Linked DNA regions of Struthio camelus. Each later gene encodes a partner of the first gene's protein in a complex. Links are inferred from orthologs where the notes say so. Each region holds a gene or a part of one and is shown on either strand. Other genes may lie near its edges.

Evidence for each region.
Region 2: GTF2F2 (region 1) and POLR2B share a complex: the UniProt entries of both Homo sapiens proteins name them as parts of the TBP-based Pol II pre-initiation complex. The link is inferred for Struthio camelus from reciprocal best matches to the Homo sapiens genes GTF2F2 and POLR2B.

Annotation. Positions count from the first base shown.
Region 1 is NC_090942.1:190,911,321-190,915,224, forward strand, and holds the start of GTF2F2 (general transcription factor IIF subunit 2), read left to right. Parts: upstream 1-908; 5' UTR 909-1,110; coding exon 1,111-1,176; intron 1,177-3,904. UniProt on the Homo sapiens protein: TFIIF is a general transcription initiation factor that binds to RNA polymerase II and helps to recruit it to the initiation complex in collaboration with TFIIB.
Region 2 is NC_090945.1:3,516,171-3,520,074, reverse strand, and holds the start of POLR2B (DNA-directed RNA polymerase II subunit RPB2), read right to left. Parts: upstream 2,442-3,904; 5' UTR 2,237-2,441; coding exon 2,218-2,236; intron 1,794-2,217; coding exon 1,721-1,793; intron 150-1,720; coding exon 1-149. Other genes in the region: NOA1 (nitric oxide-associated protein 1), read left to right, coding at 2,579-3,518. UniProt on the Homo sapiens protein: Catalytic core component of RNA polymerase II (Pol II), a DNA-dependent RNA polymerase which synthesizes mRNA precursors and many functional non-coding RNAs using the four ribonucleoside triphosphates as substrates.

The DNA.
Region 1 (3,904 bases):
ACCACACATATATTGTTTCTTTTTGATAGTCATCTATTAATAACTTCTCCCGCTGCACGGTCTTTCCGAGTAGCTTTTCATCAATCGATAGCAGCTTCATCTAGACCGATTTCTCCAGATAGCTTCTCAAAATGTCACAGGGTTTAATATCAGAAGTCTGACTTTGGTGGAGACGTTCGACATCTGTCACTTCACCCCGTCACGGAAGGAAATCAGACTGGTATGACATGTTGCTCTTCACCAGTCCATCTTAACCGCTTCTCGTCTCTGTTTTCTTCTAGGTCCTTTCAAATAATTTCTCTCATTATTTGAGAGATCTAATATTTTTCCAGAAACCGAAGCCACGTGTGCAGGTCTGTGACCGTCCCTTCCCCCTGTTTTAAAGCCCGGGGCTGCGCTTGCCCGCCCACCCACCCTCCTGGGCGACTGCAATTGCTCTCGATGGCAGATTTCATGAGCCAGGACCACCTTCGGTGGGACAGGACGATCTGAAACCACGCAGCTTTATCTCAGCTTAGTACCTTATTTTTTAATTACCGCAACTGCTAACGGGGTTGCTGTCCTGTTCCAGGTAACCTGCTGCAGTTTTTAAGCAGTTCAGCTTTGTCAGAGGCATGTTCAGACAGTTTTATTCCTCGGCTCATGGGAGAGCCACCAGCTTCCTCGGTCACGTTTGTACCACAAACGCGGGGAATCATTTTCCTTCGCTCTGACCATCACTTCTTGTCCCTCGTTTGCCCACTTCCTTTACGGCCTTGGCCTTTCCCGTTTTGCCCCCCCTCCCCGCGACATTTTCACACTCGGCCTAGGAGCCCCCCCGCACGGCCGCCGGCCCGGGGACTCGAACCCGCGGCTCCGCCAAGCGCGGAGCCGGAGTCCCGCCCCCCTCTGCGCTTGACGCCACGCCGGGCGGAGGAAGTTGGTCCGCCGCGAGCCACCGTCTGCGCGCGGCGCGGTGCGGTTCCCATCTGCGTCCGGCGGGGGACGGTGGCCCCGCAGCGCGGGAGCAGGAAGGCGCCTCCCCGCTCGTTCCGCGCGCGCACCCGTTTCCCTTCCCGTCGCTGCCCGGCGCCGCTCCGGTCGGCGGGGACTGCCCGGGCCGCCGCCGCCATGAGCGAGAAGGGCGAGCTGGACCTGACCGGGGCCAAGCAGAACACCGGCATGTGGCTGGTGAAGGTGAGAGGCCGCCGGCGCACCCCCGGCCCCGCGCGGCCTGTGGCGGCCGGGCCCTGCCCTGCCCTCCCCGGCCGGGCCGGGCCGGGCGGCAGCGGGGCCTCGGGCCCGCGGCGGGGGTTGAGGGGTCCCGGGGAAGCGGCGGGAGCGAGCCGGGGCGCCGCGCGGGCGCTGCGTGTTTGGGGCTCGGCCGCCTCGTTGGGGAGAGGGTTGGGGTGGCGGGGACTCAGCAAGAGAGCGCTTCCCAGGTGGGTGCTGAGGTGAATTAAGGAAAAGCAGGTGACCTAAGAACTGCCTTTTAGTTTTATTAAGGATCATAAGTAAGGTGCTCTAACTTTTATTTTCCCTCAGATCTATGAAATTGAGAACTTCCAAGTTTATATCCTGGCTAAAAACCAAAGGGAACTTTTCTGTGTTCTTTATGTTGCTCCTGTCACTACAGCCCACCTTTGAGGAGAGAAGCTTTAGCAGAGTCAGTGGGAAAGGGAAGAGAGCGCTGGCGTAAAGATCATCGAATCAAAACAAGCACCTTTTGAGCAGCAGGGCCAGTTTTGTGTGTGCTGACACTAAGTAGGCCATCACTTCCTAGGCATCAGCCTTATTTTCTGGAAGGTCCATCTGTCTAAATCACTTGACTGTTTTTGCCGACAGCAAGCTAGCATTGGCTCAGGAAAGAGGAGGCTCGCTAGCCACTGGGGGAGTATGTGCCCTGGCCTCCTTCTGGTCCTTTGTAGGGGTACCCCCATTTTTCTGGACCAGCATTTGGGAAGAAATGGTAACATCCTTCTCTTCTGCCTTTGGGGACCACTTGAGCAGGCCCAGAACAGCATGAGAGAACCCATGGAGACAGGGGAGGACCAAAATATTGGTTCTGGGTGGTGGGAAGGGTGTGACAGCATCTTTCTTCAACTACCAAAACCTGTTATTGTGGCTCTTGAAAAAATAGTGGGGAATTTCAGAAGTCCTGCAATGCAAAGCAAGTGTGGTGGTGGTGGTGCATCTGGTAGGTCAGTGCATCTGGCTTCCTCTTTCATAGTGATACCTGAATGTCTGGTTTTGTGAAACTCTGCACCCAGAACAATAAAAATGAAAACTGATAGCAGAAAGCTGCAGAAGTATATCATGATCGAGAGTGGCTGGTTGATGAAAGGGCAGATGAAATTTAAAGCTGAAAAAAGTAAAATGATATGCATAGAGAAAAATTATTTTAATTATTATACTTGCACAGTGGCTGGGTTTCATCTGCTTATTGTCATTCAGAAAGGAGATCTTGGGTTTACAATAGATAAAGATAGTTCTGCGACTGTCATGTCAGTGGCAGTCAAATAAGCAAATTCAACATTGGGCATTATTAGGAAAGAAAGACAACAAAACAGAACATATTATTTTAGCCTTATATAGCATGAATACAGTATACGGTTCCGTTCTTATCCTCCGCATTGTGAAAAATATATGGTAGAACTAGAAAAGGTACAGAGGAGGGCAACAAGAATGATCAGAGACACGAGGAATCGTGCCTCTGCAAAGACCTCCTAAATATGCTAATCCAGGCTGGAAAGATGAGGGATCTGGAAGTCTGATAGAGGTCTATAAAGTCAGGAGTTGCAAGGAGAAGGTGAATAGAGAAGAATCAATCTTAACACAAGAATTAGGAATGTGTCAAATTAGGGATGCATTAGGTGGGGGTTCAACGCAAGCATTTTTGCACAATACATAATTAAGTTTGGGAACTTGTTGCAGTAGGGTGCGTGAACATCAAAACTTTGCACAGGCTCAGAAAACCATTAGGCCGACTTATGCAAGAAAAGGGTACTGAGATATTAAAAGTGGAGATGTTCCCATTCCTCAAGAAGTGCTGAGGCAAAACCCGCAGAAATTGGAAGAGCGTAGTGGGGAAATACCTGTTCTTCTCTTGTTTTCCTGCTCTTCCTGAAGTGTCTGCTGTTGGCCACGTTGGAGACAGGGTACTGAACTTGATTATCTATTAGTCTGGCATGGGTTAGTCATTTTTGAAGCGAGCCAGGAGTTTTCAGGCATGTCTGTGCTTATAGGGGATATCGTTCTGTGAGCACAGGATGCTGCCTAGTTTAATGAGAAAGCTGGGCTAGCAAGAACCCTTAAATATTTATTGTTCTTCCAAGTTGATGTCTAATATTCTTTCAACATAACCATGCATGCACATGGTCTGAATTTACAATTTGGCTGTCTTCTGGCATATTTAAAAAAAAAAGAAATTCCAAAGTCAATACCGTTGGTAGACCATAGGAAGGTGCATGCAGGTTTTTGTCCTTTGGATTCCTCTGGATCTAAACTTGGAAGCAACGGTACTTTTTCTCTTCACTAGTTAGGATAACTAGGCTGAATTTATCCTTGCTTTGAGGGAGAAAGCAATAACATCTACTCCAAAAAAAAAAGCTTATTTAATTTCCTTTTAGCCTGTATTATGCTAGCCCAGGAAGTACTCCAGAGAGACTACTTAACAGACAATAAAAAACCATAGTGATGAGTAGTTTGGGAGCATGAGCAGTACGAGGAAGTACAAGAGATAGGGTGAGTCTCTTTTGTACAAAACTAGAAAGCAACTTGAATAGTTTTTTTTCTGTATTTTCAGGGAAAACTAGGGTAGGGAAATATTATCAGAATTCTTAGTTATACACGTGTGTGTAAAGTAAAGCCTACTTAACATTAGCCACACTCTGAACTGTTAATTTCTTATTCTTATGTTTTCTTC
Region 2 (3,904 bases), on another chromosome or scaffold:
GCTCTTCCACTTCTCCTGTGGCATGCTGGGCTTCAGCTTGCAAATCAATTGGTGGAGCATCTTCAACAATTCTCTGCACAGACATCTGAATAAACTCATCAAAAGAATCCAGCTGCTGCCTGACTAGGCCTTTCTCATCAAAGTAGGAGCTAAAAAAAAAAAAAGTATATTATTCAAGAAGAGCTCTTAAGTTAACTCACGTACTCCACATATCGACAAGTTCAAGACTTGTTTATTATCAAACCTTCAGGAGTCCTGGAATACAATATCAAAATACAAGCATTGACTTTTCTTGAGGCACAAGTTTCAAACACAGCTGCTCAGGACTGTTAAAAACTTAAATTTTTTCTCTCAGTATTTGAAGGCATAGACACGACAAAGTGACAGACTTGCTGCCCCTTCTTGGTTAAGCCATGGCTGTATGCACAGTTTATCTCAAATTAGAAGTGAAACAGGATGACTTAAAACCTCAGTAAAGGTAGCTTCAGCTAATATCTTCTACAATGCACATGACAAATTACTTTGCTGCAGATCATTTCCCAAGCTGCAGTAAACTGAGAGCATACAATTGTAGGCCCCTCATTCAAGACAACAGTTCTCAGAACTTTTCTTAGCTCAGATCACCTCTGTTCCAGCCACACAGAAATTTCCAGCTTCACCCCTTCCAGCAGCTTCTGGATTCCGTCTAACCTTTGTTTCACCTACCAAAACACTCCAATTGTAGCTATCCAAGCCCGAATGCCAAGCTCGCAGCCTAGCTTCTAATGGGATGATCTAAACACGTTCACTGCATTAGCTCCTGCCAGCAAGCTCCTCTCCTCCCACGACCCTGCATTCCTGAAGCCAGCCAGGGAACCCTTACTTACTCCAGCTTTTGCTCCTTCACCTACAAGACCTCTGCAGAAAACTTGTAACAACTACCTCCCTATCAGTGACTTCAGGCTTCTCCAAGAACGGAAACATAGCCTTGCCTATTGTGCCGCTGCCACAGTGCACCCTGTCAGCATAGCCTGCCATTGCACAAAAGGAAGGAGGAAGGGAAGGAAAGGGCAACCTAAATCCTTACTGGGAGTGAGCTCTAGCCCCAGCTGAAGGATTTGTCCCAGTTCCCTCCCACCTGATTCAGAATAAATTTAACGCTCATCACCAGGCTGCCAGACAAGAGAAAGGACCTCCTTCTGCCTCCGAGGTTTCTCATCCCTACTCTCTACCCAGAGAGGCTACAGGTCTAGCGCTGCAGGTACGCCCTTCCGTTTGGGAACTGCTGCTCTAAGACACAAAGAGAAACACTTTTTGCCTAGTTCCACACAGCCTTCCACTCTCTCAGAGGCGCAAGAAGCTGCAGAGCCTGGGCCTTCATGTAGTACTAATAAAACACTAATATGGCAAACTGCTAAGTATTGATCTCCTAATGTCAGCACGCACTGCGAGAGTAACGGGCAAGATGATGTGCGTGATTTGGGATCAAAATAATTTCGTACTTCAGTTCAGATAGCCTAGCTGAACTGAGAGTAAGTAGGGCTTCTTAATCCCTAACAGTGTATATACAGGGCCAGCAGTCAAAACCTTGCTGTTTCTGCTTAAAGCCCTTCTGTTCAAAAAGTAACGAAACATATTATTTAGTAGAAACAATTCTTGCATTTCCATCACGTGTTGCTAGCAAACTAGATACTACCTTTAAGACCCAAAGCGTAAAGAACAGTGAATTTTAGAAAGTCACCTAATAACAATCCAGCATGCTTCTTGCCACAAGTCAGGAGTGATTTCATCATCATCTTCATCATATTGCATATCTGTCCAGGAAGCATAACGTGCAAGTTAGACTTCGATATCCACGTTACCTCTACTTGCCTACTAACGCGGGGCCGGCATACGACTGGCAGAGGGGCACCCCGGCAGCGCCCATGGCCGCAGGAGACTGTGGAAGCCCCTCACGCCGGCGCCGGTAGCTCCCCCGTCTGCACCGAGCCCCAAACGCGGACTCCGCGCGAGCCCAACGGCTCTCCCGCCCCCACCCCCTAGCGGGCAGTGCGCGACCCGAGCCCAACGGCTCTTCCCCCCCCCCGCCCCCAAGTAAGCCGTAGACGAGCCCAACGGTTCTCCTGCTCCCACCCTCCCTGGTAGGCCGTGGGCGAGCCCAACGGCTCTCCTGGCCCCTCCGCCGGGGCCGGCCGAAGAGGATAACGGTTCAGGCCGGGAGCGGCCGCCCGCCCTCACCTTCGTCCGCGTCGTACATGGCGGCGGCAGTAGGGAAGGCCGCAGGCGGCGGCGGCCGACACAGAGGCGAAGAGAGCGCGGGCCACCACTACCGAGCCGCCGACGGAGGGGGAGGCGCCTGCGCGCCTCGCGCACACACCTAGCAGGCGTCACCGCCGCCTCGCGCAGGGCCGAACCGTGGCCCGCTCCCTTCCCCCGCCCCGCCCCGCCCCGTCGGAAGCACCGCGGGGGAAGGCGCATGCGCGGTTGCTGCGCCCACGCCCTTCCTCTTCCCGCCGCACGGCGGGCGGGGCGGAGCCGCGTGGGAGCGCGCGGAGCCTGTGGCCGCCGGCGGGTGGCGGCGGCGGCGCTCGCCCGCGCCATGCAGCGCCTGGGCCGGGCCCTCACGGGCGGGCTGGCCCGGGCTCGCGCCTGGCGGCCGGTGCCGCGGCGGGGGGCGGCGGCGGCGAGCGGCGAGGAGGAGCAGTTCGTCTTCCCTGAGTACGAGCCGGAGCCGGTGCGGTGGGAGGCGGCGGCGCCCCACCGGGAGGCGGAGCCGGGCGGGGAGCGGCGGCGGCAGCGGAGGGCTCCGAGGGCGGCGGCGGCGGCGGGGCTGCCCGACCCGTCGGTGCCGCCGAGCGGCGTGAGCTGTTCGGGCTGCGGGGCCGAGCTGCAGTGCCGCGACGGCGCGGCGCCGGGCTTCCTGCCGGCGGAGAAGTACCGGAGCCTGGCGGGCGGAGCGGGCGGAGCGGCGGGGCTGCGCGCCGCCGTGTGCCAGCGCTGCTGGCTGCTGGCGCACCACGGCCGGGCGCTGCGGTTGGCGCTGCCCCCGGAGCGGCACCGCCTCGTGGTGAGCGCCGCGCTGCGCCGCCCGCCGCGCCACGGCCGCGGCCCGCTCCTCCTCTACCTCCTCGACGTGCTGGAGCTGCCCGACCCGCTGCTGCCCGAGCTGCCGGCGCTGCTGAGCCCGGCCACCCCCGCCGCCGGCGTCCTGGTGGTGGGTAACAAGGTGGACCTGCTGCCCCGCGACGGCCCCGGGCACCTGGGGCGGCTGCGGCGGCGGGTGGCGGCGGCCTGCGCCCAGGCGGGCCTGCGCGGGGCCCCGCTGGTGGGCGTCTGCCTGGTGAGCGCCAAGACGGGCTTCGGCCTCGAAGGGCTGGTCAGCCGGCTGCAGCGCTCCTGGCGGGGCGCCGGCGACGTCTACCTGCTGGGCGCCACCAACTCGGGCAAGTCGACGCTCTTCAATGCCCTGCTGCGCTCCGACTTCTGCAAGTCCCGCGCCCCCGACGTCGTCGACCGTGCCACCGTCTCACCCTGGCCAGGTCAGGGCTGCTGTGACCGAGGTCCTGCTGGGCACGTGGGGGACAGCCAGCCCCGGCGGGAGGCTCGCTCGCTGGGCCCAGCCTCGGCCTGTGGCCCCGCTGCCTGGCGCCCCGGGGCAGTGCGAGCCCCCTGTGAAGCGTTTGCCCATCTCATGGCGCCGCCGCGTGTCACAGCGCGGAGGGGGCTGACTCGCACACGCTCTGGGAAGCAGGCGATCTGGTCCTCCCTGATCTGCATGCCTTGCCATCTCCCTGTGAATCGGGGATGCCCTCCGGGCTAAAGGGCAGCTGGGAGGGGGGCTGGTGAGCACCCGTAAAGTAGTCATATGCAAAGCCAAGCTGCCTTGCGAGCAGGACGTAGCTAGGGTGCGTTGAACCGATCTAAA